Drosophila melanogaster: one gene and its partners. Changing the gene in region 2 together with the main gene of any one other region gives a genetic interaction. Each region holds a gene or a part of one and is shown on either strand. Other genes may lie near its edges. The genes, in order: Spc105R, thr and Sse.

Region 1 (12,202 bases), on a different chromosome or scaffold from region 2:
ACACTAAAATAAATCAGAACAAGCAGGAAAACGGTTCACATTTTCCCCGCCACTTAGTAACGCAAATCAATCAGTCGCGACTTTCCTTCGGTAATTTCGAACATATGCTGGGATTTTCGATTCCCGAACAGCCAAACAATTTCCACGGCTAATTGGGCGGCCGAGTTCCATGGGTCCATTTCACTTTCCCATTGAGAACTCGGAAGGCGGTGTAAGACGATCCTTAGTTGGCAACCAGCTAGCTCATTGTTCTCGTCGAGGAAAGCTCGCTGGTGTTTGTTTCCTTTTTCAACGCGACCGCTAAACAACAAAACTACAACTTTTCCACCTAATACTCTTCAGCTATTTGTATACCTGACCAGATTTGAATATGATTATTGATTGCAGTTTACCTTCTGGATAGGAATTCTGTTGAAAGTCGGAAACCCGAGCAGATTGGCAACTGATTTCCATCATTCTACCTGATCTAGATCAGATTTGTTTATTTGCTCTTTCTAAATTTGGTATGCAGAGTTCTTGGGAAATTTTGGCCAAAAATGAATGAAAATTTGAAGAATGAAATCTGATAAAATCAAAGCACCATTGATAAAAAAAAAGACGGCTGTTTCTCACCATTACATAGAGAAAAATTGTCCAACGATATTAATATTTTCACTATATATTATTTATATTCAAGTTCTATATTATTTATGGCTAGCTTTAAATGGGATTTCAAATTCTCTTGTGCATCGTTGTTTTCTAACGACTTTATTAAGCGAAAATTGTAAACTAATTATGCGCTGCCAAACGAAATTCCCGCGGGACACAATTAGTGTGTTTTTTATTTTTTATTTTGGACATATGCTTTCCCCGGCCGCAAAATGAGCAAATAAATCATAAATGTTTCATTCAACGTAATTGAGCCAGAACTTACCCCTAAGTTCTCCTTCTCCGAGGGGCAGGGGTGGGTCACCATGCCTACACTTCTGTGAAACGAGAAAAACAATGTAATCCGAGAAGGTTTTTTGGAATGTGCGTAATATTGTGTGAAGGCTGCGAGGTGGAAAAACTTCTTCAGTTTTAGGGGTTGTAATGGCTCCGCCTACGGGAACAAGTGGAAGTGAAACAAAACGGTCAACGGAACAAAATTGAAATGAAACAGATTCAATGGGGGAATCCTTTTAAATTTATAGTTCATACAAATATTGATTATATACAAATATAAAAAATATGTATTTAATAATATTATTGCCTGATATTATATATTGCATTATATTACATTTGTACAAGCAGTTGTAGTTTTCTATCCTTAATTTAAAATGAGTAGAATTTATATAAAGTCCGTACTTATTTTTAATATAACAAGAAAAGCACTTCGAAAACGAACAATAACAATTTAACAGCGTAAACGAAACGAAACTCAAACCTCTTTGGCCAGCTTATGGACCTGGCGATAGTTGACGTCCACCAATCGTATACTGCCGCCCACCGTGGCCAGCGGTTTCATCAAGTTGTTCAGGGTGGTGGCCACCGGATCGAGGATGTCCCTGGCGGAGCACAGTACATTGTATAGGAAAATCAGTGGTGGCTGCAGGTAGCCGTTGAAGAGCATGGTCAGGAGGGGCTTGAGCAAGTAGTCGGAGGTCATGTGGAGCAGTCCAACGATCAGGGTGTTCACCAGGGAGTAGAGGACAAATCGGTAGCTCTGCAGAATGAAGGCTACCACGAAGGCCACGGCGATGTGCAGCAGTCCGAAGAGCTCCGCCCAGAAGTGGGTGGCATAGGTGGTGGCGCGGTCGGCCAGGACAATAGCATTGATCTTCGGATGCGAGTCCGTGGTGCTCAGATAGTCGGCGCAGCCATGCTCGAAGGGATAGATGCCGATGCAGGTGTGCCGGTTGGCCTCCTTGCGATTCCACTGTGGCTCCGGCAGATCGTCGATGATGGAATTTCGGCTCTGCGGCTGGCACTTGCACATCTTGTCCAGCGACTCCACTAAACGGGCTAGAAAGCCACTCTTCTGCTTCTGCTTCTGCGCCTGCGATGATTTGTGGGACTTTGTGGCACGACCCTTCACTTTCGGCGCAGTTCTCGTTGGGACGAGCACACGGGGACGGCGCTTGGAGTAACGCTGGAACTCGATCCTTTGGGGCTTGCTCTTGCTCAGGCTAAGCTGACTCTTCCCCGGCTCAGCGTGCATCTCGTACAGAGTGTGTGGTGAGCTCCCCGAATCCGTGGACGCGGTCATTTCCCCGTGCGCCACATCCTTGAACATGTTGTACTGCGTCTGACTGTGCTGATATGCGTCGGAATCGCTGGAGGAGTTCAGCCGTGGGAAGATCTTCTTCAGGGGAGACTGCAGCTTGGCCGTCACCCCCACGTGGTTCACCTTGATCAGGTTGGACTTGGAGGTGGCGCAATGGGGATCGGTTGATTCCGACATAGTGACTTTATGTTCTAAACTTATGACGTGCCGCTTCAAAGCCAACTGACGTCTTTTTCGTACATATGATCTGAATTCAAGTTAGGCGTGCCAAAAAGTTAACTTATAAGCTTTTTACCACAGAAGAGAACATATACTCTTTGGCCTAGAGACAAGAATATATAATTTAATATAAAAATGTATTTTTATTATTATTGGCTTATGTCTGTGCTATAAAACTTTTCATTTCCGGTTTGAGCCACCACTACGTTTGCAGGTATGTTTCGGTATATTTCCGGTAGATGGTGTACCCGTCAGTGGTTTCCCTTACCGGCCCCCAAACGGTCACACTCGCCCGAGCATAGCAGATTTGGAGAAAAAAACAACTGTAATTAGGAGCCATAATTAATTCATTTCGAATCGCACACGCTTTTCAGTTTATCTAGCCGAAAGTACAGAATGTTGGCCTCCGCCTGGCGCAGCGTGGCCACCTCCGTGGAGACCCAGTTGACGGCCACCTACTTCCGAGGTTCGTCCAGCAATCCGACACTGCTCCTGCGTTCCTGGCGGACGATTCCTCGAGCGGATGCCCCTGGTTTCGGAGCGATTCGGCGGCGTTTTCTGGCTGTGCCCGTCATCTGTCCAAGTCTCGTCAAGCGTAATCTATCCGTACATACGTGTTTAATCTAATCTCTCCCGGTGCTGCAATTTCATTTCCCAGTATCTACGCTTTTTGTTCGTCCGTAGCTAGTCAGTCTGTTTATCTGTTGGCCATCTATGTAGCTAAATGTGAAACCATCGCTTCGTTTCAGTGCAAAAACTACGAAAAGTCGGCTTCAGAGGCATGCACAGCACATTGGAGGACGTGCAGCTGGAGGGCATGGAGATCAAGATCCTGCCGGCCCTGCAGGATAACTATATGTATCTGATTGTAGACACGAAGACGCGCGAGGCGGCCGTGGTGGATCCCGTGGAGCCGGAGCTGGTCATTAAGACGGTGCAGGAGCAGCAGCTGACCCTCAGCAAGGTGCTGACCACGCACCATCACTGGGACCACGCCGGTGGCAATGAAAAGCTGCTCAAGCTGTGGGAGAAGGAGCTGGACGTGTATGGCGGCGATGACCGCATCGGGGCATTGAACAAAAAGGTTCAGCAGGACGACACCTTCACCATTGGTGGTCTGCATGTCAAGTGCTTGTCCACGCCGTGCCACACTACCGGCCACATCTGCTACCACATCACCGCGCAGCAGGGCAGCGGCGAGGGAGCCGTCTTCACCGGCGACACCCTCTTCCAGGGCGGATGCGGCCGCTTCTTCGAGGGCACTCCCGAGGAAATGTACGAGGCGCTGTGCACAAAGCTCTCCGCCTTGCCGGACGCCACAAAGGTGTTCTGTGGCCACGAGTACACGCTGCAGAACATGAGCTTCGCCCGTCACGTCGAGCCCGACAACGAGGTCATCCAGCAGAGGATCGAGTGGGCCAAGCACCGGCGCGCCTCCCAGGATCCCACTGTGCCCTCCACCATTGGCGAGGAGAAGTCCTGGAACCCCTTTATGCGCGTTCACGAAGCCACCGTGCAGAAGCACGCTGGCGGAGCCACCGATCCCGTCGTCACCATGGGCAAGCTGCGCAAGGAAAAGGACACCTTCAAAGCCTGATCTATTTCCTCGAAAGTTTCGAAACTTGTGATTTAATATTGGATTTTAATGGTTAATAAAATTAACGATGTGTGTGAAGTGCGGACAATGGATTTTTAATTATTCGCAATTTATCGGATTAAAACTTTTTTTGTTTTATTCAAATTATGACATAAATTTATTTCTTCAGCTTTATTTAAAAGAATTTATTTTTGGTATTTTGGTCTAGCAACACCCTAGAGAAGAGGGTACTGGTTGATTCCAACTTTATTCATAGAGCAATGAACTTAACAAATTTTTTAAATCCAAAGATTTTAGCAAATTTCGTAAAATTTGAATCACAACGGTTTTGGTTAGGCGTTAGTGCCTTTTGGGCATATCAAAAATACTTTTGGTATTTCTAGCGATCTATCGCCAACGATCTGGCAACACCGTCTGCCATTAACACAAAAATCGCGGCGTCTCTCCAATGGGATTTTGAAATAAAAACAAGTTAACAGCACGGCGCGATGAACGCAAACAAACGCAGAAGTTCGGTGGGTTCTTCGAAAATTAATTGATTGAGAAGCGCTCATGGTAGACCTACTCTTCTTGCAGCTGCGTAAGGTGCCGACCAAGGAAGATGAGGCGACCACAACAACGTCCGCGATCAAACAACAAATCAAGCGACGCATCAGTTTCAGTGGCAAGAAGTCCGTGAGGTACGTACAGTAGATATATGCGATGTACAACGCTCACCCGCCCTCCACATAGGGAATTCGTAAACACCAAGGAGACCAACAACTGGGACGACTCGTACGAGGTGTCGGAACACCATGCTGAGGACAGCTCGGGATCGAAGTGCTGCAGCACAGGATCAGCATCAGTAGCGAGGGTTTCCGAACATGCCGACAAGGAGAACATTCCCCTGCCCAGCCACTGCGAGCGGGAACATGTCGATCTGTCCGTGAATCTGCAGGCCAGCGTGGATTTCACCCTGCTGCCCTGCGAAATGATGGACAAATCGAGGAAGACATCCTCAATCTCTGCTGTGTCCTTTTGCATGACCTCCGAGGAGCGAAAACTGTTGCAAAGCAGTCTCAGCGACCGCCAGCTGGTAGACAAGACCATGGATCTGATATCCGGATCTCTCGTCAACCGCCACCAAATCGCGTCGAGCGTTTGTGAGGAATCCTCCATCAAAGTGGCAACAAACAAACTGGAGAAGGTGGTATTCACGCCAGCTGTCAAGGCTGTGAGTGACTCCTTCATGGACATCACGCCATTGGGATTTACTGATCCCAATCCTGCTGCTCCCGCTCCAGCTCCAGTTGCAACTCTATATCCTCCAACTCAACAAAGTTTAATGGAGCTCGAAGAGGACAGCATTGTAAGGGAGATGCGTGAGTCCACCAAAAACCAGACAAAAACTCCGGCGCAGAAATCGCTTTTCATGGACGTGGGGGAGACCAAGAATAAAACCCAACAGGGAGCTGGAGGTGCATCCTTCTCATTAAATGGTTAGTATTATCTCAGTTAAATCCCTTCCCAATAGTTTCTAATTAGCAAGTTTTCGGTTGTCACATTATTTTGCAGTTTCCAATAACCGAGATCGTTCGCCATCGAACTCCTTTGAGAGCCTTAATAGCACCATGAACTTTACGAGAGATGAGTCGATGCTGATACCATTCGACATGATTTCGGGGAAAAACATAAGCAAGAAACTCAATTTTCGTCAACTCAACGAAGACCTGGAGACGGGTAAGATCCAGATATTTCCGAACGGGCCAAAAACGCCGACCACGGATCGTAAGGCCAAGAAAAATCGGTTTTGGTGCGGCCTTGAAGAGGAGAGCGCGGGAGATAATAGTCCAAAGAAAGATATAAGAAGCATAGTGCCACGAGGAATGTTAAATTTCAGTGAGAACATGACCTTGACGCCGACGAAAACAAGTCCAGTTGGAAAGAACAAGGAGAAACTAAAGGCGGCGGATGAGAAGCAGAAGTATCGACTATCCCAGGCGGATGAGATGATGCTTGACAATACAAACTTCTTGGCCCACGCCAGACTAGGCGACGAAACGCAGTCGAGAAATACGTCGAAGAACTCGACAAGAAGGGAGACAACTTGCGAAACCTCGGAACTGAATTTGGAATATCCTACGTTAAGTCAGGACTTTCAACCCATTCCGAGTTCCAAGACTCGTAAAACTGATTTTATGGCTGAAGAAATGCAGCTCAGTCAGACAAATTACCCTGCTATTCCTGCATTGAAAACTGCTACCTCGCGTCGCACCTTACATCTCAATGAATCTATGGATCATGAAACAACGAAATCCACGTACGTTAGGAAGGAGATATCGGTTACCACGCAGGAGACTATCTACGAAAAATCCACAACCAACGAGCAGAACAGCAACCAAAATCGCAACACATGGGCCTGCACTAAAACCAAGCGCAGGGCGACGCTTTTGATGCAGGAAAGCATGGAGGAGGACATCATTAGCCCTCTCAAAAACTTACAATTAAAGCCCAATGCGGCTCCTATGAATACAGGGCAATCCAAAGTGAACCATACGCTGTATCTAGCAGAACCACTGGAGGAAGTGGACATAAACCAAAGTAATATGTTACCAACTAAAAATGTTGCCCCTAGAGAACAACTTAAAGCGAGGAAAACGCTGCTATTAGAGGAACCTATGGAAGAGGAAATGAGCAGTAACATTGGTTACAATTCCAAAAGAAAGACTCTCCACTTAGCGGAACCTCTGGTGGTGGAGGGAGAGGATTTCATTTTGGAAAAGCACATACCAATAAAAGTAGTCGCGCATCAAGAAAACAAATCCAAGGGTAGACAAACTCTTTTGTTCGAGGAGCCCGTGGAGGAGGAAATATTTCACAATGCGAAAGATTTACCGGAATGTGCTTTAAAGGGAAACAAGACTGGACCTCAGAAATACAGTCAATTAAACCAGGGGAAGAGTTTCACTTCGCAAAGCAGATCCAAAGCTAGGCAAACCCTCCTGATCGAAGAACCCATGGAGGAGGACACGGAATTTAACAATAAATATAATATTGCCAAACCTGGAGAGAACCACATAAGAAAGATCGCTAAATCCAGACAAACTCTCCTTTTGTCAGAACCTTTAGAGGAGGAAATGTGTCTTCCACCGCCAAAGAATAAGTCAATAGTGTCGCAAAAAACAATAGATAAATCAACCGAGCAGCAGCGATCAAAATCGAGGCACACGCTATTATTATCCGAACCTATTGAAGAAGAACATATTCAGCAGGACTTGCCAGCTGAAAAGGAGGATAGTTTAGCTAGACAGCAAAGATTCAAGCCAAGGCAAACGCTCATCATGGCAGAGCCCATCGAAGAAGATGTTGGAGAAACGGAACGTAGGGTGCAAACTAACATCACTGGTTCGTCAACTTCCAGACCAAGACACACTCTTTTGATGTCCGAACCGATTGAAGAAGAACTAACTAACGAAGATAAAAGTACGAATGCCAGCACAAATAGAACGTTAAGATCGAGGCGAACCATTTTGATGGCGGAACCGATAGAGGAAGAGGGCAATAAGTCTATCGCTGAAAAAATAGGTCAATTTACTAAAGAATCTTCTGAAGAAGCGGTATTTCAAACTTCCAAATCTCGTCAAACTCTGCTGATGGCAGAGCCTATAGAGGAAGATGTTTTCAATCAGTCAAATGATCAGCCAAAGCCACTTCCTATATCTAAGGATAAAATCACTAGGAAGACCTCTAGACGACACACGCTTATTACTGCCGAACCCATTGAAGAGGATTTGAGTGTTCGTAAGCCGCTGGAAAATTCAAAGGAGTCATCTTTGACCGCCAGAATTATTCAGTCATTCGCCGAGCCCATTGAAAATGCCCTATTTTCAATTACTGATCAAATAGCTAAACAGCAATTTTCCGAATCGGTTCAAACTCCTCCCAAGGAACCCCTAAACTATCTCCACCAGAAGCCGCGGAATACCCTCATCTCGCATGAAACTATTCAGGAGGATTTAGAACCCGTAAATGAAAACTCATCAGTGGGGCCTCTGAGGTCCAGGTACAGAAAGACCCTTATCATGGCAGAGCCCATTGAAGAAGATGTTAATAACCACAATATGACCAAACAAAATGGGATCTGTGACTCTTTAAATGTTCCACAGTCCGGTGGATATATGGCTGCCAAAACAAGACAATCCGTGCATATACCGGTACCCATTGAGGAGGATCATATTCCGGGCCAACAGCAAAGAGAATCCGAACCTGCGGTGAAGGGCAGAACTACGCTGCTGACTGAGTCCATAGAAGAAGATGTACCCGCGCAACACACTCGAATTTCTAAAAATAAATCAATGGGCTCGAAGGTTTCGGCGGAGCCTATCATCGAGGATTTGGATTCCAACAGACCAGAAATTTCACAATCCGTGGAAGAGACTTTACCCCAAAGAAGCCAGGTTCCTGATGTTCCGTCATCCAGAAGACATACGCTACTTTTATCGGAACCCATGGAAGAGGATGAGGGGATATTCGGACATAACTACCCCATAAGGACCAAGCACCAAATTTCCGAAAAGCTAGAAAAACCAGAAGGACCCATTCATTCATCTAAAAATTCCGTAGAAAACGAAGAGATAGGCACTCCTCCCAGTGCCAAGACTCAGCAATCCATTGCTATGTCCGAATCAATGGACTTTCAAAGCCCGCAGTTTAGGCCGAGGGGTCCGGACTTTAATGCAATCACGCCGGGAATGTCCTTGACTGAATTTGTGGATCAGGAAGAGATGTGCAAGACCCCGATTCACAAAAGAGTTCTCCTGACTTCCCATCGGAAAAAATTGTCCATGTACCAACCAGTGCCGATAGACCTTGAGGCGAATGCCTCCGGCTTTGGAACTCCAAAAAATCTCGTCCAACTAAAGCGCCTACCCACGCATCTCACGCCCAACCTTCCGGAGTCCAAGAAACGAAACACGCATCTGTTTCCGAATAGCAACATGGACATCGAATTGGAGGAGGATCAGGAAGGTTCTTGGGGGACAAAAAGTATTCAGATGCACACAGGGACAAGTAAATCACGCAGGACCTACACGGTAGACCAGTTGGACGCGTCGGTGCAGCCAGTAAGGGACTACAATCCTGTAGTGACTGAGATGAACAAACAGGGTGGTCTTAATATGCTGGAGCTGCCACGAAAATCGACCTATAACATGGATCTAGAGGAGAAACCCATCACTATCTCCGATGTTAATAATTACTTCCATGAGCAAAAGGAGCAGCAGCGCCAGTCTAGCGAAAGAGAGAGCGGCAGCTCCAACGATAGAACCTTCAAGAGCTACGCAGCAACAATCTCAAAATTCATCAATCTGACCGGGAACACAACCATCTTTGCAGCCGCAGAAGATTTGGGTGGTGAGGGGAAGGACCAGCCCCACCAGATAGATAACGAGCACCTAAGTCTGGTTTCCACGCTGGCGGAGGAAACAGACGATGATGGCGACGAGAAGGAGGAGGAAGAAGAGCAGAAGCAAAAACAGCATCTCTTACAACCTGAAATCTGCGAGGCTCAACTGAATTCAATGGTAAAAGCTGGCAGCGAAGGCTCCTGCAAAAAGTGCAGGAATTGCAATCATACTTTGAGCGAAACAAGGCTAAGTAGCGAGTCATTTGTCCTGCCACCTCGGAAATTGTGGGACTTTTCAAGGCTACAGCAACGGTTGCGCAATATAAGGCAGAGGCCGTCGTGGAAGGAAGTGAACACTTACTGGGAGATCGAGGAGGAGGCTCGTCTGTCCAGGAACCAAGACTCCGACGATTCAATGGAGCAGACCAGGGTGGAGGAGGAGGCCACCAAGTGGAACAAAGCGGCGCTTCTTGAAATGTGCAAGCTGTGAGTACCGAATACACTTGGAATTTTGAATCATTTTTTAACATTTACTATTTCTACAACAGAAGAACAGAAGAGAAGGACATAGCCATGCCCCCGGAATCCTTCTTTACGAGACTCAAACGTTTGCTAACCGAACAGCAGCCCAACTGGATCTTCGACTACCAGCGTAAAGTGTCCCAGCAAATGATATTTTACAACCGACAGCTGACCACGATCCGAATCGTGGTGAACTACCAAATCGAAGACTTAGTAGAGGAGTCCACCATTAGCGTGTGTTCCATTCAACTAGACAATGACGTGCCCACTCCCAAGGACCAATGGTCATCGCGTGAACACTTTTTAAACTTCCACCTAAGTCTCCGCCTGCCGATGAATCCTAGCGACGAGATCGAGGGCAGTGATGAGACGGCTTTCTTGAAATTTCTCAACGGCATTGATCGCAGAATTGCAGAAGTCAAGCAAAAGTTACACAAAGTTTTAGATCTTCTAGCGCAGAAGAGAGCGAGGCTAACAAGGTATAAGCTTCTCCAAGGTGTATCTCAATACATTACTAATTTAAGTGATCCCTTTTTAGAGAAGCAAATCGAACTATTGTCAGAAAGATAGTGCGAAAGTGCATCGACCAGGAACCCATCGTGCGTCTCGAGAAGATCACTTTCCTTATTGAAATCGGTAATATTGAGGACGTTTCCTTCACGGACATCCTACGCCCCGAACTGCATCTCTTCAATGAAAACATTCAGTATCTGCCCAAGGGAATTCCTTTCCTCGAAGCCTTTCTCACCGATCCCGAGCAGTACCTTAGAAAATAAATGCGTATGTTAGACTACCTTTTAAATTGTTTTAAATTAAAATAAATGCATTCGTCTGCGTTTTTTAACGAATTCACATTGAAAGTGTATGCGAATGGGCAAGGATTTCCACTGAAATCGAGCTTATTTATAAGAGCAACCATTACTATAAGTCCTTTGAACGAAATAAAACAAATAAAGAGCAAGGAAGGATTTTGTTTGAATTTAAGTTTACTCGCTTCTCGTACTCGTTTACAATAATTAAAATAATAATAAAACTTAAAAGTAATTTAGTTTCCTCTTGCGTGGCTGCTGAAAATTCGTTTCGTTCATCCGGATCACTTGGAAGCTGGAACTAGTTGAGTGCGTGTTTGCTTGCATTTGCTTTCTTTATGTTTATTTCACGAAGACAACACAGACATATTAAGATCCAAAATATATATACGTTATATATATATATATATATATATATATATGTATGTTTTGTGTTTAAGGTTTGTGTTTTGAGTGGTTCCGTGGCCTTCTGCCCGCTTGCTTCTCAGCCACATGGAGATGGATGCGTGTGAGTATGTGTGGTGTTCTTAGTTTTGTGTGAGTGTGTGTGACGTCATTCGAGGGTGGAAAGTGGAGGAGTGTGTGACCTCCGGCTTAGACGCGAGACAACTGCTGCAGCAGATTGCACGGCCAGAACGCCTCGATACGCTCCTTGAGCAGCTGAAATGGATACGATATCCAGGTAAGTACGGTCTGTGCCAAATGACCCATGGGCTCCGGATACTGGTGGGTGGCCAAGGCCAGCAGGGCGGTAATGGAGCACAGTCCCGCCGTGAACAGGATGAAGAAGGGCAGCTCCTTCTTAGGATAAACAGACACCTCGTGGAACGCCGGCAGCAGTTCGCGATCCGCGCACTCTGTGCATGTTGGATATGGATAGAAGAGGTGGCCACGCTCCAGCGGATACGGCAGCATGCGAAACGTGCCCTCCCAGGTGCAGTGCAGCAGGTTCAGGGCGCCCTCCACCTGCTTCCAGTGCTTCAGATGGAAGAACGCGTAGGCCAACGCCTCCGAATCGCCGCGCTTCAAAATGTGCTCTGGCGGTAGAATAAGTCGCTTTGTCTCAAGCAGATACTTGGGCACATGCGGATTGAACTCCACCGCCCGATGAATGGCCTCAACGGCGCTCATTTCAGCTTGACTTAGACCTCGCTTGGATGCTATGTCTGGCGAAAACTTGTCGGCTACGGCGCGCGCCTTCAGCAGAGCAGCTGTATAGCAGATAGTCGCCGATTTCGGCAGCGAGATGTCATCGTACTTGGCCAGAATGGCATGGCAATCGGCGTAGGCCTGCATCTCCAGCAGCGTTTCGATTAGATTCTCGTGAATGTTCAGTACGCTCATGATCGAGGGTATCTCCTTGGTGAGATCGCGAAACATTTTAGCCGCCTCCTTCAGCTTGCCCAGCTTGCGGGCGCACATGGCAA
Region 2 (11,207 bases):
CAAACGCTGTGTGCATTCATTTCCACTCATTTGCTCAAATACAGTAGACACTCTCTACTGTTAGCTATATTTTAGATCATTTGCATTCCCCACTTTGGTGCTTACTAGATCGATCAATAGATCGAGCACAACCGAATTCTTAGCCGTGAATTTCATACGAACATTTTTTTCATTTCCAATTTTTATAAATTATACCTTTGGGGAAGTGCCACTTTGTTTCCTTTCCAAGAGTTAAATTTTTTGTTTAAACTACACCATATCCATAAAAAGATTCTTAACATAGTTAAATTGATTCCATTACCAAAAACATGATTTTGAAGTTCATCAAACAATAAGTTATTTATATTACAAAGTATATCAAACCGAATACAGATTAGGTTTTGCAGTCAGTTTTTATTTACAATTTTATATTTTCATATTCAATTTTGTTGATAATTATTAAAAATTGTGTTGAGCTACAGTTAATTTTCTTTTAGGATATACCAAGATTCTTGCCACTTAGAAATAAAATAAATTTGAACCATAATTCAGGTTAGAAAGTGTCCGCTGTAAGCACATAACTGTTTCTCGGCTAGACAGAGACGGACAGACGGACTCTGAAGGCACCCATTTTGTTTCTTTGTTGTTGGTTTTGTTGTGGCGTCGTGACATATTGATAATTGGGTAATCTGAAGTGAACTTGCACAGCCTCCAAAAGGCGTACGTTGTGTACATTTATTCATTTGTAGATTATCAGACCACAAAACACCACCCACTCTCACCCCCACCCACTATTCGCAGACAGGCGCAACAACTAAACTACGTCACGGTCAACCATGTTGTTGTTGTTTTGTTGCTGCGAGTGCCGGCTAGTCTTGTTGTTCCCCTGCCATCTCCCTTCCACTTCTTGATAATTCCGTTTTGCTCGTCATTCTTCTCTTTGCGCATTCTGCTTTGTGTCGAAGCACACGCACACATACACACGCTTGTGGCACACACACATATATTGGGGTTACATAAACGCGAGTTGGCACTTTTTCCTCGTCGCCTGCATTACAAAAATATGCAATTTGGCGATGGAGCAGCAGCAATGTTTACCAAGTCATTTGCATTAACGCCAAATTGGTTATTTTGCATGTAATTTCGTTTTGCATTTCAACAAAAAAAAATTTCTCAGCGTTTGATCGATTTTTGCGTATGTATTGTTCTCCATTTTTTTTTTCTGTTCGCTTTGCGTCAAAAAATGTTACAAATGTGACCAGACTGCGAGGCTTGAATATTCCACAATGAATACATCAAATATACCAAAATAATCGGTATCGTTTGTTCTTGTCTTCAATAACTAATATCGATAAGTAATAATTGGTTTAAAAATTATTCAAAACTCGTTTCATATAAATAAAATGAACTACTTCTAATTTATGTATTTACTCTCAACCCTATTATAACCTAGATCACAGAGCTGAATCTGGACAACTGCCGTAGTACAAGCATCGTTGGCCTTACAGATGAATACACAGCCTTGGAATCGCTTAGCTTGATCAACGTGGGTCTCACCACACTGAAAGGTTTCCCCAAGCTGCCCAATTTAAAGAAGCTCGAACTGTCCGACAATCGGATTTCGAGTGGCCTCAACTATCTGACCACTAGCCCCAAACTGCAATATCTCAACTTGTCTGGCAACAAGATAAAGGATCTGGAAACCCTGAAGCCCCTGGAGGAGTTTAAAAATCTGGTTGTTCTGGATTTGTTTAATAACGACGCTACTCAAGTGGATAATTACCGCGAGAAGATCTTCAAGATGTTGCCATCGTTAAATTTCCTAGATGGGTGAGTTTGAGTAACTTCTTTCTATTGTAGAACAATAAAAGTAACTTCTTGACCACTTCCAGATTTGATTGCAACGACGAGGAGGTGCAATCTGATGGCGATGATGATGATGAGGTCAACGGCAACGATTCCGACGAAGTGGGAGGTGTGTATTCGACGTATTTATAGAGACCAAAGATTAAATCGCAGAATTCAGGAGTTTTTTTTTTATAAAAGATTTCCATGTAACCACCATTAAAATTCCATTGTCCGTCTGTTTAACTTAATCGCTTATTGTGAATCGCGCTTTCTTCGTATTAACAATAATATCATATACTCAACCGTGGCTTTTGTCGCCTTTCAGATAAGTGCAATGCATTCTGTTTAAATGGTTTAGAGATCGATTTAGACGAGCTCGAGGCTTTCGAGAAGCGGGTTAAGGCGAAAAAAAGTTTGCAGGACAAACCACCTCCCCAATCGGAGGACAAAGAAGTAGACGAATTAGATGAATACTTGAAAGAGTTGCAGCTAAGGGAATCTACTGATGCTTCAACCGATGAACAATCTGTGATAAATGCCACACCGCAGCCTCCTAGCAATTCTAACTTAAGTTTTGTAATCCTGCTGTATTGGTTCCTTGCCATTTTAAATTTGGGCAGTGCTACATATTGTAAGCATAACGTTTCTGAACTTTTCTTCAGTATTAGTCGAACTTCTCTAACTCGAAAATGCTGCAGAAAAAGTAAAGATTCTCTTACCCACAAGAAGCGTTATAGTAGTTCGTAGGTTTGTTGATCTCAATTCCGTTGAACACATTAAAAAATCGATTTAGGGAAGTTCGAGATGTACAAACAAGCAAGTTGGTTTAATCAAATTTACCTTTGATTTTTCAGTTTCCGACGAAGATGACGACAGCGATGATAGCGACGAAGAGGCGAATGGTGAAGTGTCCCTGTCGGAGGTGTACAATGACGATTTGGAAGAGGATAACTCTGATTGGGAAGGCGAAGACGAGGCTGGCGAGGAGGACGAGGAAGAGGATTCCGATATTGATGATGCCGATGGTGATGCAAACGAATCGGCTGCATCAGTGAATGCCAAGGACAAGGATGGCGAAAAGGAAGCAGGTAAGTTCAATTATTTATATCCCAGACAGCATTAGTTCTTAATGCCATATATTTTCCTTTTTTTCTTTCCAGACGAGTCGCAAGTCAGAGGCAAGAAGAGAAAGCATGATGGTTAAAACCCTGATCTGTCGGTATAGCGTCTTTGTACGTTATAAATTTAAATATACACCCACACACAAAACAAAAACACACACACACATCATATTTTGATAGAAAAAGATGATAAATCCTTTAGGAAACCCACAATTTGTTTCTCTAAAATGTAAGCTAATGAAAGAAGAAATCGACAAAAAGAAAAAACAACAAACAACCCAAACAAAGAGGAGCATAATGAACGTAATAATCAAACAAAGCTAAACAAGAAAAAAATACATGTTTAAGCGAGAAAAATCGAGGAGGAATGCAAAGGAAACCAAGCAAACAACCAATTAAGCAAGTCGCATTAGTATAGCCTCATCCGAGCCCAAGTTCCAGTTTCATTTTAAACACCTTCGCCATCTTCAGGATTCGCAACATGAAATCCAAATCACTATGTTAAAGATTACACAATTACAACGTGTACAATTTTTAGCCATCCAGCAGCATCTTGTTTTCAAATTTCAATCAGTCACGAAAATCAAACAATAGCTTTCCGGCGTTATTTGAACAACTGCGGATTTGTCAACGTTTCGCGTGAAAACGATCACACAATTTACTGCTAAGAACTTTTAACTAACTCTTAAGTCATTCCTTCTTTAAATACGCATAAGTTAAGCATCCTACTTCGCCCACTTTCTGCTCAAGGCGATTTAAACACACTTACATTGTTACCCATCACCCACCTCCCAGATACACAAACTTTATCTCCGCGTCATTCTGTAAACGTAGAGCACTCACTTTTGAGCAACCCGAATTGTTTACCTTTATATACTTTTAAGTGTACTTTTACCACATACCGAAATGTTTCCACTTATTCATTGGCAGTAGTGTTTTCATTAAATGTGGCGAGTAAATCTTATACACAAAACAATTTTAGACAAGACTTTTCATTTAATACACAAGTAATTAACCGATTATTATTAAAGCAGGCCCCGCGTTAATTTAACGAGATGAGATGTGTCTTTACCAGCCCATTGAAACTGAAATACATAAACTACATCATTTTAAAATTGTCTTTTACGGGGGAAAATGGGAAAATGATTTCTATTAAAGAGAAGAGCTTACGCATATGAGCGTATTTTTTTTTATTTAAATCTCGATATCAATAAAGCAACAAATTGTATCGTTATCGGAAATGAGCATGGAAGTTTAGTATTTTCCACAAGAATTTGTAGTATTTGTGTTCTGATATGAAAACTAGAGATATCGATGTTATCGTTAAAGGATTTCCAGCTTTAGCATGGACGGTCACACTGGATCTCAAAATCTGGCGCAAAGCAACAAAAAAGGAAGCGTCGCAGTTAAACTAGTTAAATGTGCCAATTCCCTTTGAAAAAATGTCTACTGATATAGCCACCCAGCTGAAGGGCAGCCGCTCCGATGTGGAAAAAGTCCGCAAAACGGTGGAAGCCAAATTCCGGGAGTTGTCTGGCGATGGACTACCTCTGAGATACGAAGTGAATGTATTGCGCCATATTTGCCTCGCCTTAAAGGATAATCTGCACCAGAACTCGGATCTTTACTGCGACATCATGGGCATAATGCTGCCACGCGTAGTTCCCTGCGAGGAGAAGCCAAGCTTATGGGAAGCGCACTTGTCCAGCCTGCGGTACATACATCATGGCTTGTTTCATCAGGTAGGAGTCGCTATAAGAATCTTCGAATCTTTCTAACCAATTCTCCCGTTCACAGCGATCCATTGAAGCCTGTCAGAAGCTGTACAACCTCATCCGACAACAACCCTGCCGTCTGCAAGAAGAATCAGACTACAAAATATATCTGGACATACATTTGACCCACTTCAATGGTTTCCATGTGCTGCTGCAGAAGCAAAAACTCCCCTTGGAAGCTACAAGTCAATTGTGTTATGCTTTGGAATCATTGGGAGATCTATTCGCAGCCATGACGCAAAGGCAAATAAGTCTATGCGCAACGCTTCTAGTTCAACTAAACGAGAGTTTATTTGGCAAAAGAAGTAGATCATTCTTCAAGTCCCTAAGCTTCCTGCCGTCGGAGAGTCTTGCCAAAATGTTCAACGCGCTGCTTATGCTCCTGGCCAGCAGCACCAGTTCGAACCTGGCCAACTTATTCCCTGAGTGCCTGAGTCTCACGTTGGCTCTCGTACAAATCGACATGTTCAGTCCACAGTCCAATCAACAGATGTCATTGCAGCTGCTGCGCATGAGCAAGGAACTATTTCGCCAGGAATCAAACCTGTGCTATGCTCTACAGCTGATGTACTACTATATCAAGTTAATCTTTGTTCGGGAACCCACAGGCGACTTTAAGCGCACCTACATTGACTTGTCTAGCAAGTTTCAGCACTTCTTCGAGCACAAAGTAGCCTCGCATGCCAAAGAACAGTGGCTAGCGGATTTTCTGGTGGCCATTCAATTGCTACAGGTGCTCATCCATCAAAGTAACAGTAAGTTGCAGAGTCCTTTTCAGATATTTTGGCAGCAGTTTGACGGAGAGAGCAGCCCCGATATCTACACAGCGCACTTTCAGTTGCTTCAGACGTGTGCTAGCTTGGCGGTTAATATTACGAGGAGTCCTTTGGGCTGCACTTGCTCCCACGAGGCATGCAAGAGCGTGCGACGGCACTGCATATTGGCGTATGGATTGTGCGCATTAGATGCGTATATTAATTGGAAACCGGCGGCGGAGCAGAAAACAAATGTGGTGGGTATTTTTATCTAATTTTGTGGAATTTTAATGCTACATTTCAATACTATTGCAGAGCCCTCACAAGCCCTTACTGGGAGTAGTCAAATACTCAATGGATGTAGCTAAGACCATGAAGTGTTTGGGTCCCACCAGTGTGGAGATCATTAAGCTAGTGCGCCAGCTGACATACGTGGCTGATCAGGTCACCTGTCCGGAGCAAATGTCCGTGCTGCTGCCACTTTTGGAGCCACTGCAGAAGCTGCGACCTTTGGTTGCCGACCAGGATATGAGCAGTTTACTCCGACGCCTCTTTAAGGCCAGCTCCCATTGCGGCGATTCCAATATAGCATGTCGAATTCAAGCCAGTTACTTGGCCTCGATTACGAATCCGGCACGATTAAGATCACAGGTCTGTTTGTACTATCACAATCTGGGAAAAAAGGGCACCGAGATCAAAAGGTGTGTCTACGAGTGGCACGAGTCCACGCCACTACCTTTCCCTCTCACTCCGGACCAGAAGAAACAGCTGTATGATACCGATTTCTTTGCCTTACTACACTATTTGAGGAGTCCTTCTACGGCTCATATGGAATCACTTATTCGTTGCCGAACGAGTGACTATCATCTGGTACTCTTGGCCAGACAAATGCGAAAGGATGACTCGATTTCGAAGAAATGCATAGAGGTTCATGATAAGCTAAGGCAACAACGTTCGCTCAGTCGAATGGATAACTTGTGCCTGGGCCACGCAAGTGTGGGACTACTACTGGACGCACTGGAGGCTCAAAAAACCAAAGTTTCCACCAAGGAGATAACGGAAAATATGTTCGAGGAGCTGCTACTCAGCAAGAATTTATGGCAGATGAACATACAAAGGGAGCAGCGATTGGTCAACTATGCTAGTGAAGCCATCTCGGCCTTCAGCAACTTCTTCGATCGAGCAGATCAAGAGCCATTGAGCGCAAATGAAACGTCTATTGATTGGGAGGCATTGATTGACGATGCCATCGCTACTGCCAATGCACTTTCAAGTATGGGGTATCAGTCAGAAGAGGATGATGCCTGGCTGTTGCTTCTGAGGATGGGTCGCTTGCTGGAAGATCGTTTTACCTATCTGCGTGCCCTAAATCATTTTCTGTCACAGAATGAGGTTAGTTCTCGTTTAAATCTGAAACTCGGCGAGGAAGTGGAAGTAGCAGAGGAATTGCTGGATGATTTGTGGCCTCAATTGAAAAATGGCAAATTCTTCAAGCGTCAGCAAACTACGGTAATGCTCTGTTTTTGTCACCTCGCCAGTTACTATGCCAGAATGGAATGCTATAGTCATGCCCAGTTGCTTCTATTGCATGTGGAACAACTTCGCGAAGAGTTTCCTGAGAGACAAGGAAAAAGTGATATTGTATTGCTTACACTGCAAACGGTGCGCTTTCGAATTGGGTATCAGCAAAGGAAGCCAACGAATTGCAGGCTGCCGACTCCTCTGCGTCAATTGGACATTCTTCTGGACAATGTGCGAAGTTTTTGCAATCTATCCAGTTTAGATGGCGGCTCATTGCAGCTGCTTCTTTCGACTCTTGTCAGGGAAAGCACCGAGTGCTCTGCGAACAGATTAAGCGAAAGACTGTCCTTCTCCAACATTGCACTACATTTGGTACTCCAATCTGGCTTGGCTTTAAGAGCCATAGAGGTATTCCTTGCATGGTTATGGACCAATTTGCAAATGGAAAGTTTCGACAAGGCGCAATCGAAGTTGAGACTCATCGAGCATTGTTTAGGTATAAAACAGCTGAATCCAACGAGTAGGCCGGAAAAGGAAGCGATTAAGGATGTAGCAATTAGAGATCTGGCTAGTAATATGCATCTCCTCCAGTTGGTGGAGCCGATCAGAAAGCAGCAGCTATTAAATATGGCCTCGCCGAATCTGCTCAAAATGCGACCACATAGCCCAAATCCCCAACTGGACTTGGATCGCTACATAACACTCGATGTGGCGCCAGCGAATCTTCGAGAGAATTCCCAGCTGCAATGCTTGTACTTTGTAACGGGCTGTCTACATGCACGTCTCCGCTTTCTGCAGAGAAACAGCGAACAATTGGACGAATTCTATGGAAGAGCGCATAGTTGGATGCAGGAAAAACCTCCGATGAGTAGCGCTTTGTATCCCATGTTGCATGCCCAGCAGCTGTATCATCTGAACTATCTTCGCTTTGCGCGAAAGCATGTAGAGGCTATATCAACGGCTCAATTGGGCCTTAAAATGCGATCACGCGCGGTCGACATTAACTTCGAGTACAATTTTTTGGCTCAGCTAAAGACGGCTCAGTTAGAACTCAAACCCGTGGGTCAGGATAAGCCACAGGTCAAAATCCTTCGACGTGCTTTGGTATTCAATCACTCACCCGAAGATAAGAAACGAACCGCAATAGGATCGGTTTCAGCAGTCAAGAATACGGCGTCTAAAGTTAAACAGTCGGCCAAAAAGGCACCTCGATTCAGAATTTACGAGGAGCTGGAACTACGACCACCAAGTGCTACCAGTTGCAGTAGCAGCGGTGGCAGCGGAACAGAGAATACACCGCCTTCGGATCACGTGGATCTAAATGCCTGCCAAGCGATCGAGATAAGCGACGATGACGATTCACCTTTGGTGTCCACAAAGAAGACACAACCAAAAAGTAGGGAGAAGGCAAAACCCAAGGCCACATCCAAAGCTTGTAAAGTCCTAACATTGGATAATAGCTTGGAAATAGTAGAAACGCCGACAATAACTACAAGTACACGGAGCACCAGAGCCAGGCTGCGCCAACCAGTAGAGACACCAAAGACAGCGACTCTTTCATCCAAGCGAACGAGGCGCCAGGTTTTGGAAGCACAGGCTCCCGAAACGGAGTCCATTAGCACACGCACACGGCATCGGCACTGATTAGATAGTAGTCTCCTTAGTTCGTATTTATTCTTATCGAAAATGTCTTGGTATTTAAATATATATATATATTGTGTGTAAGTGTTACAAAAGAGCTTTTGACATAAATTCATTGTTTTTATCTTGTGGCAGGGACAGTAGTGACGTTCTACAGATGTCCTTGCTCCAAAAACCGTGCTGAATCCGCTGTCCATTGCTGGCATGGTAAAATACACCTGAGCCCGATTTGCAGCCTCCTTCAAATTGACCCACGTAGCGATTTCCCGTTGCTATGGATAACATATTAACTTATTATCTATAATCTTTATGCATTTTTAAAGTTGCGAAAAAATAAATAAAATGAAACAAATACATCCAAAGGAACATATCTTATTTCTTTATCACACTCACCCGTGAAAAGTAAACCCTTTTCGTGCATCTTGTCCCGAAGCCACTCGCCCACATAGATGCCGCCATCCGCCTGCCATAGGATGCCCTCTCCACTTCGCTGGTCCGCTAGCCACTGACCAAAGTAGACGGATCCGTCCGGATAGAACTGCTTGCCCTCGCCACTCCGCTTGTTCTCCCGCCACTGACCCACGTAGATGCGTTCCATGCGGCCATCGAGCTCCTTGCGACGCAAACTTCCGATGCCATGCCGTTGACCCTTCTGCCAGTGACCCTCGTAGACAAGTCCACTGCTCGTTTGCTTTACCCCAAACCCGTGAGGCTGCTGGCCCAACCATTTGCCCTGGTACTGCCCACCAGGATAACGTTGAGAGCGAACTCCACTACTATATCCGCTCGTACGCGACGACATGTCTTCGATGACTGAGCGCGGGAGCAAGTCCGTCCAATTGCGGCGGTGCCATGTGGTGTCGTCCGACTTTAGGCGGCGGTGTGCGTGCGGTGGTGTCACTTGTCTAATCGAACCCCCCCAGCCAGCAGCAGCATGTCTTGCCACCATTTGGCTTCCTCCAGCAGCGACACGCTAACTTAAGGAGGCCAAAGACATTGGCTCAATAGAAAATCGTTTGTTCCGGTTAAGTGTATGTAGTAAAAATCGTTTAATCAGTCGTATATAAATTACAGCGCTATTTAGCTTACATCGGTAAAGATCGAAAATAGACTGTTATATTTTCCAAAACTATTGGAATACCTATGAATATAATTCGTATATAAATATTGCAGTACATTTTCAAATACTTTATTTTACAATTGTTTTATGTTGCATATAAAATATATCAAATTGTCTCTAAAATTTTGCATTCTTTTAATCCGCATCTATTGTTCAGCTATATATCACGATTAAAAATAAAACTCCAACACCATATATATAGAAAATTCTTTTAATCATAAATTATATGGTATAAATTACAGCGCGGTTTCGCTTACACAATTGGCTTAATATTAAATTTGACAATCAAGTTGTGTCTTAAACGTAAAAAGGGAAGACTGCCTAAGGATGGTTGCAAAAAAAGAAAATCCGGCATGGCATACAATTTAAAATACACGCAATATAAATATGTAACAAATATCAGCTAATTTTTTGAGGAATATTCATCCGAAGTATTGCTTTAATTGGGGTCTTTTATCATTGTCAATATCCGTGCTAATCCGCAATTGCCATAAGTAAAATAAAGGACTACAGCAGCACTCGCACATATATATATATATATAGTAGAAATCTACTGAATTCCGCGTATCACAATTTTAATCAACTACAAATTTACAATATGTGTGTTTCACTAAAAATAATCTGAAGCTTACCCTGAGCCGCTGTCTTTTTCGTTCGATCCACTTGTGCGGATACGCCAAGTGATGCTAGACAATGTCCCCGGATGCGCCATAGTTCATGCCATTATTTCGTATGTTATTGTGATGCTCCAAATGATCCTGCTCCATCTGCTCCTTGAGCATCTCCAGCTCACGGATGCCCGAGACTGTCACCTCATATTTGTGCGACACCAGGGAGCGATAGAAGTGAATGGCGAAGGCCATAAAGATGATCATCACCGGTATGAGGACCACACACGCTGACCAAGCCGCCGGCGGACTTAGGTCATAGAATTTCACCCAGCACAGGATGGCTATCTCCAGTAGAAAGAGTATGAGTCCCAGCAGCGTGGAGAATGCCCACGCCGTTTCAATGTACCAATGGAGACGCTCGTGTGGCGATTCGTGGACCAGGGAAATACTATGCAAATTACACACCGTCTCAATATTTGGCAGGATACAGGTGCTGATCATCAGGGCCAGCATGTGCACCGCCACCAGGAGGGTGGTGCAGATGGCGAAGGCTATCAGCATGCCCGGTGGTACATTCGTATCGTGATCCAGTTGCACCTCCACCATCGCCACCTATGTGAAAATTGCAAAAGTGAAGAAAGTCATTAATGATTTTTATTTAATTTTGGTTAGAAATCGAAACGATTCCCCGGCATCGCCTCTTATTATTATTAGCCATTTCTCGCGAGAACATTGCAAAATTGGCAAATAAGCAACTTTTCTCTTATATTATGTGATCTGAATGGACCTAATTTATCTGATCCGCCCCTAATGCCGCGCCTCCCTTTCTTCAGCAT
Region 3 (9,230 bases), on a different chromosome or scaffold from region 2:
AATGCAAGGCCTTATGTACTATCCGATAGAATATGGAAAATCGGTATAATAATTTAATATTTAATGCATTAATTCAATATAATTCTCATTATAAACGTATGCATATAGAGCGTCATCCAGATGTCAGGTTTCCGATCACTGGGCGAGCAGGAGGAGGTGGAATTCGAGTGCCAGCGCACGTCGCGCGGATTGGAGGCCACCAGGGTGTCCAGCAGGCATGGCGGTAGCTGCCAAGGCAGCACCTACAGGCCGCGAATGTGAGCTCATACCCAATCGTTTAACTAATTTTCCCCATTTTCACCACCTACCCACCAACCACCCAACAGAAATCGCCGGACTCGCCGCATGCGCTGCTACAACTGCGGCGAATTCGCCAATCACATTGCCTCCGAATGCGCTTTGGGTCCTCAGCCGAAGCGCTGTCATCGCTGCCGTGGAGAAGACCATCTCCATGCCGACTGCCCGCACAAGAATGTGGTAAGTGCTCCTCTACGATTCCACAGCCCCATTTCGAGGACTAAGCCCACATCGTTTCGCAGACCCAAAGCCACAGTAATAGCAAAAGCATAAGCAACAATAGCAGCAGCAGTGCAGCCCAAGAGAAGAGCGAGGAGGCCACCTAGGAAGTCCTTGGATCTTGGACTGGTAGTTGGAAGTTAGAAACTTCCTTGACAAGTACAAAATGGAAATCTAAGAAAAAACACGCATCAAATCAAAGAAACCCACGTACAACAAAACTAGCTACTACACTTAGATATTAGCGGGAAGAGACGCGCCCCGAAAACCATCCTATCCTAAGTTTATTTTCTATTTTAACATTATTTTCTAGGAACCATAGTTGCTAAGGTTTTTCACTAGATCCCAAGTAAACGAATTAAGCTAGAGAGCATCCCTTGGTCTGTTTTTTGAAATCGGAGCTTTTGCACCCTGGGGCCGAACTAAAAGCTCTGTGCTGATAAGAAAGTCCTGGTCGCGAGTCACGTGGCCACTGACAACAATGGAGCTTTCCTTGGGGCAACAACAAACAGCTACAAATGGAATCACCATGAAAACGCAGAATCACTGTGTAAGCTTGGAAACCTGAAACCCGCCGCTCCCGGCGCTAAAGTCAGCACCCACCACCCCCTGAAAGTGAAACATAGTGAGCAGCAGCAACAACAAACGGATTGGGCGAGGACATGGCCAGGAGGAGCAGGGAAAGGGAAAGTCCTGCCTTTTTTTGGTCGCTCTCTTTTTCTCTCTCTCTTTTTCTCCAGCTGCCTCTCTGCCTCTTGGCTCTTGGCCCTTTTGGCTGTTTTTGTTGTGGTTTAGTTTGCAACATTTTGTTCGGGCTCGCTCTCTCGCGATTTTTGTCCTTCGCCAAGGAAGCAGGAGCAGGATACCCAAAAGGATGCAACTAAGGCCAGCGTCGAGCTCAGTCTCAGTTGATCTCTGCCAGAGAATTGTTGTGTGCAACGCGGCGGAATTTACATTTACACCATATTAACACAGAAAAATATGAAGACCCAAAAATAAAGGACCCTCAAGTCCAATTATCAAACTTAACCAAAAACAATAACTTAGACAACTAAAAGAATTTCAACAAAGTTAACAAAGCGTTTCAGCAACAAATTTTCAAAAACCCACAAACCCCAAAACCAAAAAAAAAACCATTAAAAAAATTAAAATTACACAAAGTAAACGGAAAAAGTTTGTACAATTTTTTTTTTTTGGCATAAAATGAAAACAGTTTTTCAACGCATAAGTTATACAAATATGGAAAGGAAAAATGCTGGCGAAAACTAAGAGTTCAAGGTTAAAAGAAAATGAGAAAATTACCTTTTTAACTGGGCAAACAATAATAAAGCATCAGCATCCACTGATAGAAAACAATAACAATAACAATAGCAACGTCAACGTCATCGCATATTCATTTGGGCCAAACCACAACCACTCGTACCCACACACAAGCACACACAAGAGCACAACAACACCAACACACCCAGAGGCACACAAACACACACACACACACACACTGGGAATTTACAACCAGATTTACATGGGGAGCGCCTGTTATGTAATATCCTCCTTCTGACGCTGTCTCCTGTCATGTTCCAAGTCCTTGTTCCTTGTTCCCTGTCCCCATTTCTCGATTTCGCGATTCTCGCGTACGTGTGAGTGTGTGTCTGTTTGCGTGTGTGTGTGTTTTGGGGGTGTGGCATGGCATGCACCTCGGATTTGCTGCCCCTACGGGTGCTAATTTGATTTAACTCGCTGCATGGGCACGGCATTGAGACACCACGACGAAGGACGAAGGACACTGGCCGCCCATCCCAGCTATTGGTAAATCATAAAAATAGGGACGCGCCAAGGTGTGTCTGCCTTTTTTTATGGCATGCAAATCGAGGCCGTAACACAAAAAAAGAAAAACACACGCATATTACGCATACGCCGCGCGCTCGGCGATTAGATGGCTGGGAAGAAAAGAAGTTATTGGGTTGGGCCTAATTAACGAATGTGTGTCATAATGCGACAGGCGTTAGTAGGTCAAGTAGATGCGATGCTGGGCGATTGGAGGTCGCCGCAGGTTCGGTGGGGGAAAAGCTCTGGCCAAAAGGGCAACCCGAGGACGAGGATGGGAACGAGGTGAGATGAGTCGCGTTTTTGGAGAGCAAACTGGGCGACAAGCCCGAGTACGAGTGCGAGTAAATAAATATATGGGCGTTTCTGGGCATTCAGGCATTATTGCACATTCGCCCCGTGGACGAGGGTTTAGCCTAATCCCCACTCGCATTTCAATTATATTGCATTTTTATAAATTCTCAATGTTTCCTTCACTCAATATCTTTCTCTCTGACTGTCGTTTGCACCACACTTTCACTTTTTTACTTTACCTCACCCACATTGCGATTTGTACTCGAATTAATGTTTTTCACTCCCTACTCTTGCACAGGCAAATGTAAGAATGAATCTGTACTCTGTATCTGGCATGATTCCAACTAAGGAAAACGAAAACTCTAACCTAAATCAATTAATCTAAATAGTTCTCAAACGGTTTAAAGTTCCAACAACACAATGTACAAAGTCTAAACATGTTTAAAACTTCTACTTAAAACTAAAAACTTAACCGAAATCAAGGACACTTCAGTTAAAGTGCTAAATCCATAAGGAAACATCACTCAATCTTCCAAATAAACTAAGAAAAGGTAAGTGCCTTGGAATTTCTTCCTAATATATAAATGTTTAGTTTATTTTTACTATTCTGAGTGTTACATTTAGCGTTTAATGCAAACTTTGAGCACCACTTTCCACTTGAATGAAGTAGTTCAATTAAATTAAATTATTGTACACAGTTCCATACGCAAAACTTTGCTTAGGGAGATCGACTCCACGACGAAATGAGCTATAAAGGCAGCTTTTCCACGGCCAAATTCCATGCGGGAAGTCCGCGGCACACGTAAATGCAGCAGTTGTAGATATTCGGCTCCACTTTTCCTTGCTGTACGAGAGATAGGATAGAGCACAGGCTGCCCAGATGGTAGTTGGGTTGATCGTTCATGGTGGGCGTGGTTTCATCTTTTCCTAAATTTAAAAGAATTCCTTAAATATGTAACTTAATAATATAAATAAGACATTACCTTTTATAATGCCATTTTTGAGCCAAGGCACCCGATCAATATGTGTCCACGGAATCACTTTGTTATCCCCCGGGGCCAACCAACGACTCAATATTGTCACCGAAACAGTATCCATATTACCATCCAAGGCGGGCATGAGAGTACCAACTATCGAAGGACACAGAGCTCCATGGTAATAATCATGGGCTCCATACAATGCGCTGTACAGGCCCGTGCCCAACATGCGTGTAGAATCGCAGCCGAATAGAAAAACAACGCTGCGTACCCGAGCCCGGCAAATTATGCGACCATTGACGTACTGCAGCCCAGAACCGTGACCTGCGTATCTAAAATTTAAGGCAAAAGTATTAGAATGCCATTGTTCGCTTGCAATCATATCTTACACAAAGCAATCCGCCTGTAGCGCCTGTTTCACCATCACCTCCTCATTGGGCACGGTTTCAAAAAGATGCTGCCACTGGGAGAGCCAGTACTCAAAAAAGCTACGCAGCCTGCGGCCGGAGTTGACCAAATCCGCATCTGGGTTTATTACACACATGCCACGTTTAATATTTGTTGTGTAGTAGCCATGCTTTATGTTTGATTTGTGATTCTGGAACAAGCGCCATAGGCAATGCAGTGATTTGACGCGGGAGAATTCCTGCACGGTGACTAGTTGTTCCCAATGGAGGTGGTCTAGACGCTACATAAATAATATAGTAGTATGTATTATAGTATAGAAATTCAGATGAACTACCTCATCGACTACCAGGATGATGGGAAATCTTCTGCTCGCCAGGGGCTGACGCTCCTCCACTTCCGCCCAGTCGCTGGCCAAACCCTTAAGCAATTCGTATGCCGACTGGATCTCATTTTCGTTGCTCGACAGCTCATAGCAGATGAGTTTGAGATCTGCGATTTCCAGTCGATTGGCATGCGAGGCCGCTTGGGAAAGTAAAACACGTTGGTGGGTACCCCATTGATTAAGCAGACAGAAATCGTCAACACGAGTATAGGTGGCTTTGATTTGTTTTTGAACAACAGTGCAGTCATATCTTTTGCCAAAGAACAGAAAGGAATATGGAGATATTATGTCCCGAAAGTCGGCAAGTAGTTTCTAGAAGAGGTAAAGTAATGCTAATAAGATACATTGATATTAATGTGTAGTACTTACTTGCTGAAAAGTGTCAAAACCATTCAGCTCCTCCCAATACTTCTGCTTAGCCTCTTTACCTTTCATGTTGAGTGGATCCACGGTTACCACTCGCCTAAATCTTTCCACCAGAGTGCTATACTCTCGAAAGAGATTTGCCGTATTTTCGTTGGAAATTTTCAGGCAAATCGGTCCCAGTTGGGAACTTCTACAGTGTCGGAGCAGAGTGAGATATATTGCTCCATCGCTGGCAATGATCTCATTGAAAACGGAGTAGGTGGTGGCGGGATTAAAGCTCTTGCAGAGCTGGAGGACACACCATTCTTGGGGCAGACTATTGCATTTCTCTGAAATGCGAGTTAGACCCTCTGTAGGATCCTGGACATCATCCAGGAAGTCTAGATACTCTGGTATTTCGTTGATTGGCTTCTTTGGCTGTTTCTCCTGCTCCATTTGCTGGAGGTACTTGATGATGTTCTGCAGAAATTTTTTGCTAAGAATAATGTTGGTAATGTTTGTTTGAGTTTTAAAAGAGTTTAGTTAGTTTATATATCACCTTTTGTAGTCCTTTTTCTCCAGTTTAGTGGCTGATTTGATCAGCTCCTCTGCGGTGGGACGCTGATTTTCCAGTTCCGCCGATTCGGTAAGGTAACGCAGATCGGTGGACTGGAACTGGGCTTTAACCTGGTAGTAAATTGAGTGCTCCACATTGCCATTGCGGTATTCCTCATCGGCGCGCAGTAAATTATATTCTGCAGAAGAAACATGAACATTAACATATTATTGCGAAGATGCAGTGGGAATTTCGAAGTTTCTGGGTCTGCTTATATAGTTACCCTTCGCCTCGGGGCCAACATCTGAACTGGTGAAACCGGCCAGCATCTCAGCCTCGTCACCGGTTTCCAGCATTTCCTATTATTTATTATTTACTTAATTGCTTATTTTCAAACTCGAGTCCGCAAATTGCTTCCTCCTCTTCGGACGATATCGATAGATGCCTTGTAGCCTTTACCAACACTGAGCTATCGATGGGCGATGTGCGATAGGAAACTAGCTCATTTTGTGGTATTTTCTAGTACTTTTTTTGAATTTCGCGGTTATTATTGTGAAAAGCATTGTACTTAATATTAGTCAAATTCGTAAGCTTTAACAAAAATGAAACTTAATTAAAAATATGAATATTAATATTTACTTTTCTGCAAGCAATTCGGGTACGCCATATTACTGTATTAATTACAGATAACTTGTAATTTTTACGATCATAGTTATGTAGTTTTAAAGTAATTAAGAATTTTATAACATCCTATGCCCAATAAACTATAATCGTACGATTTAAGGCATTATAGCTTTTAGTACACCCGTTTTTGTTGTTTTGCTGTCAGCAAAAAGCTTTCCCTCTTGTTGATGTTTGCGGCCGTTCATTCATAAAAACATGAATCGAGATGAAAAGGTGCAAGAGATTGCAGGTTGGCCGGAAAACAGATGTTAGGGTTGCCACGCCACCTAAATAAGGATGAGCAGCGGAAGCTGCGCAGCAACCACACCCTCTCAAAATGGAGCCTTAACATCAATTAAATATTTGTTCAAGTGTTTTAGTGTCTGATTAAAATATATTAGCGCTATTTTCCCATCAAATGCAGTTCATATTCATTTCCGAGGGTCAACCCTTAGCCTTTAAAGCCTTTTAGTTTTTGGCAACCCTAAACCACACCCTCTAGTTGCCCTAAAAACCTTACGCAACAACAAAAGCCAAGTACACACATATGTACATACCGTACATATAGGCGGCCAATTAATGCATATGCGAGCCGAGATACAATATTTTATTTTTTGACTTTTGGTTAACTTTTAAGCTGGCTTTTTTGTTGATTTTTAAATATGTACTTTTTCCAAGACTTTGTGACGTGCGTCTGGAGCTCTGCTGCCGCCTCTGCCGACGTCAGCTGCAAACTGCAGTTTTCTAATGACGTCTTTTGGAGGCAGCAAGAGATAACGGTATTTAACCGATGCGAGTGGGCGGCTCGAGCTTTGATGCCACGCCTATTTCTGAAATACAATTTTCAAGTATTTCTTGCTAATTAAAACGAGTTGTTAACAATATTCAAAATATGCAAAAACATTTGTTAAACCTTTAAAAACTTTGAAGTGCAAGCGGCTAGAGCGAATAATTACCGTTAGAGAAGCTGCAGCTGGTCGCTGTTTTAACTCAACGAAAGCTTCGATAAATATTGAATTGGCGCAGGGGTATAAGGACCTTTGCTCTCTTTGGTTTTGCCTCTGCCGCTACTGCGGCCGCTGCCACTGCCGACAGCGACAGCGACGCGAGCGTCAGCATCCTTTCTACTTATTAATTTTGATGTTGCTTTTCACTTTTACTTTGTCGGGAAACGTGCTGTTCAAGAACTTTTGCCTGGTGGGCCAGTGTTGGAAAAGAGAGGCTTGATCCTTTAATCGGAAATTTTTTAGCTTGATTGTCATGATGGAAAAGAAAAGACACCACCCCCTCACACCACTAAGCCAGCCCTATCACCAAGCCCCCCTTTAAATTCACTGGCCTTTATCCTTTATGTTTTTTGGCTGCATTATTAATGTCGCTAACTCGGCACGTTCGTTGTCCTTTCCGCCTAGCAAATTATAACATTAATATTACATTAACACACACGTACGCCAAATCACACACACATACACATATGCATTGGGGAGACATTAAAACTTTCGCACACAGCAGCACATGTAACGAAAGGCCAAAAACAACAAGAGCTAAGCCACCCCAAAAACAAAAAAAATACCGAGAGTATGTGTGTGTGTGTGTGGCACACATTCCAACAGTTGCAGCGATGTCGCGGTCGACTGCGCAGTCGGCGTCGCAGCATCCCTCTGCATTTGAGCGACTCAAAACGAATTTCGAAGTCGACGTCGACGGTTGTGTTTTGTCGCTTTTTCTTGCTTCCAAAAAATACTAATATAAACAAAATAAAGCTTTTAACTAGCTTCACAAAAAATAGAAAATAACTAAGTATAAAAACCAGCTGAAATAATAAGAAAAATCCTAAGAAAAGCCATTTGAAAAAGCGGAAAGAGCGTAGCATACTTTTCAGCCCCAGTGGATAAAACGCCCACGAGGCAGACGAAAATGAATTAATCAAGTAAAATTCAAGCAACAAACATTCCGCAACAAGAAAAGACATTTAAGTAAATTAAGGTGTGGTGATTTATGCAACTTTTTTGAGGCACACACGCAGCGAAAAGAGAGGGGTGAAGGGGGCGTTGAAGCCACTGCACATACCTCTAAGCTAAGCCAACACACACACACACACACACACACACACTCGCAGGGAGAGAAGCAGGAGCAGAGGCAGAAGAAGAAGCAGAGGCTGAGGGCATACAAAATAAAGGATAACGACGGAAAACCAAGAAAGAAATCGAAATTAAAATATAAGCCTGTGGGAGAAGAAAGAGGAGTGTCGGAGAGGGGGAGGGGCAGCAATTTTCGGCTGTCGCTGTAATTCGACGCTCATCTCCTGCTCTACTTTGCTCTCTTTCTACGCTCTTGCCCGCTTTCTCTTCTCGCCACCGCTTTGCTCTCCCGTTTCGTCAAGTGAAAACATTTCGTTTGGGCTTCGTCAAGTTTTGTAGGTATTTTGGCTACACGAAAATACACAGCGCCTTCATCCTTCTCGGTTTCGTGTCGAAAAACGGAATATCTCGTTATTTCCAGTCGAAAATCGAACTCAGACACACCGAAAATTCCTAAAAATAAAGTGAAAAGTGATCAGTTAATAATTAACGAAATTAGTTTCGAAAACATACGAAAAAAGCAGGCCAAAAACGAACATTTTTTCGGTGGGCCGCGAAAGGCGTTGCCAAATCAAAGGCCACAGGATAAAACAACAGATCCGTAACAAAATTTCAAATTATATCCTAATCGCAGGCACTAAAGCAAGAGGAAAATCCCTAACTACAAAAGATAAAATCAACTAAGCTATACAAAAGTTAATCATACGCACCGTTAATAAGCACCAAGTGAAAAACTGACTACAGGAAAACGCAGAGCAAAAATAAAGGACAAACAAAGGAGTAAAACTCTCTAGAGAAGCAGAAGAAAACAGCAGTATCAGCAAAGAACATTCTGCTGCATAAATAATACACTCGACATACGTATACGCCATATAGGCCAGGACATACCAGCAGGATATATCACACACACACACGCACGCACTCACACATACGGACGGGCAGGACGTGCTCCTGTTCTATTATTTAACTGCTTTCAACGTCAGCACCACGTTCAACCCGACGAAAGTCGATTGAAAGCCGCCTTCAACGGCCACAGCATCCCTCTCTCTCTCTCTCTCTCAGCAAACACAAAAAACAAAAAGGAAAACGAGAGAGCGAGTCCTTTGCTTGCGCCAGTGTGTGTGTGCGCGCGTGTGTTCGCGACAGCAGGAGCGACGTCAACGTCAATCCGCTCAATATTTATA

The links.
Region 1: of thr (region 2) and Spc105R, changing one enhances a phenotype caused by changing the other (phenotypic enhancement), as found in Drosophila melanogaster (one study listed by BioGRID).
Region 3: of thr (region 2) and Sse, changing one suppresses a phenotype caused by changing the other (phenotypic suppression), as found in Drosophila melanogaster (one study listed by BioGRID).

The regions. Positions count from the first base shown.
Region 1 is NT_037436.4:20,795,930-20,808,131, forward strand, and holds Spc105R (Spc105-related), read left to right. Parts: upstream 1-4,480; 5' UTR 4,481-4,549; coding exon 4,550-4,576; exon of another isoform or gene 4,577-4,613; coding exon of another isoform or gene 4,614-4,637; coding exon 4,638-4,741; intron 4,742-4,793; coding exon 4,794-5,539; intron 5,540-5,615; coding exon 5,616-9,930; intron 9,931-9,992; coding exon 9,993-10,445; intron 10,446-10,504; coding exon 10,505-10,742; 3' UTR 10,743-10,924; downstream 10,925-12,202. Other genes in the region: CG3698 (uncharacterized protein), read right to left, coding at 1,400-2,422; tzn (tenzing norgay), read left to right, coding at 2,861-3,059, 3,214-4,061; CG3634 (uncharacterized protein), read right to left, coding at 11,370-12,202.
Region 2 is NT_033778.4:17,859,034-17,870,240, reverse strand, and holds thr (three rows), read left to right. Parts: upstream 1-4,277; 5' UTR 4,278-4,390; coding exon 4,391-4,690; intron 4,691-4,745; coding exon 4,746-5,735; intron 5,736-5,793; coding exon 5,794-8,643; 3' UTR 8,644-8,727; coding exon of another isoform or gene 8,728-8,912; 3' UTR 8,913-8,968; downstream 8,969-11,207. Other genes in the region: mapmodulin, read left to right, coding at 1,433-1,809, 1,872-1,954, 2,153-2,458, 2,682-2,915, 2,988-3,031; CG14490 (uncharacterized protein), read right to left, coding at 8,728-8,912, 9,034-9,442; orai, read right to left, coding at 10,447-10,983. UniProt on the Drosophila melanogaster protein: Required specifically for chromosome disjunction during all mitoses; maternally provided protein is sufficient until mitosis 14 then zygotic protein is required.
Region 3 is NT_037436.4:5,656,497-5,665,726, forward strand, and holds Sse (separase), read right to left. Parts: upstream 5,752-9,230; 5' UTR 5,659-5,751; coding exon 5,586-5,658; intron 5,502-5,585; coding exon 5,306-5,501; intron 5,243-5,305; coding exon 4,771-5,242; intron 4,714-4,770; coding exon 4,354-4,713; intron 4,300-4,353; coding exon 4,001-4,299; intron 3,944-4,000; coding exon 3,618-3,943; intron 3,562-3,617; coding exon 3,383-3,561; 3' UTR 3,204-3,382; downstream 1-3,203. Other genes in the region: lin-28, read left to right, coding at 109-257, 327-477, 540-623.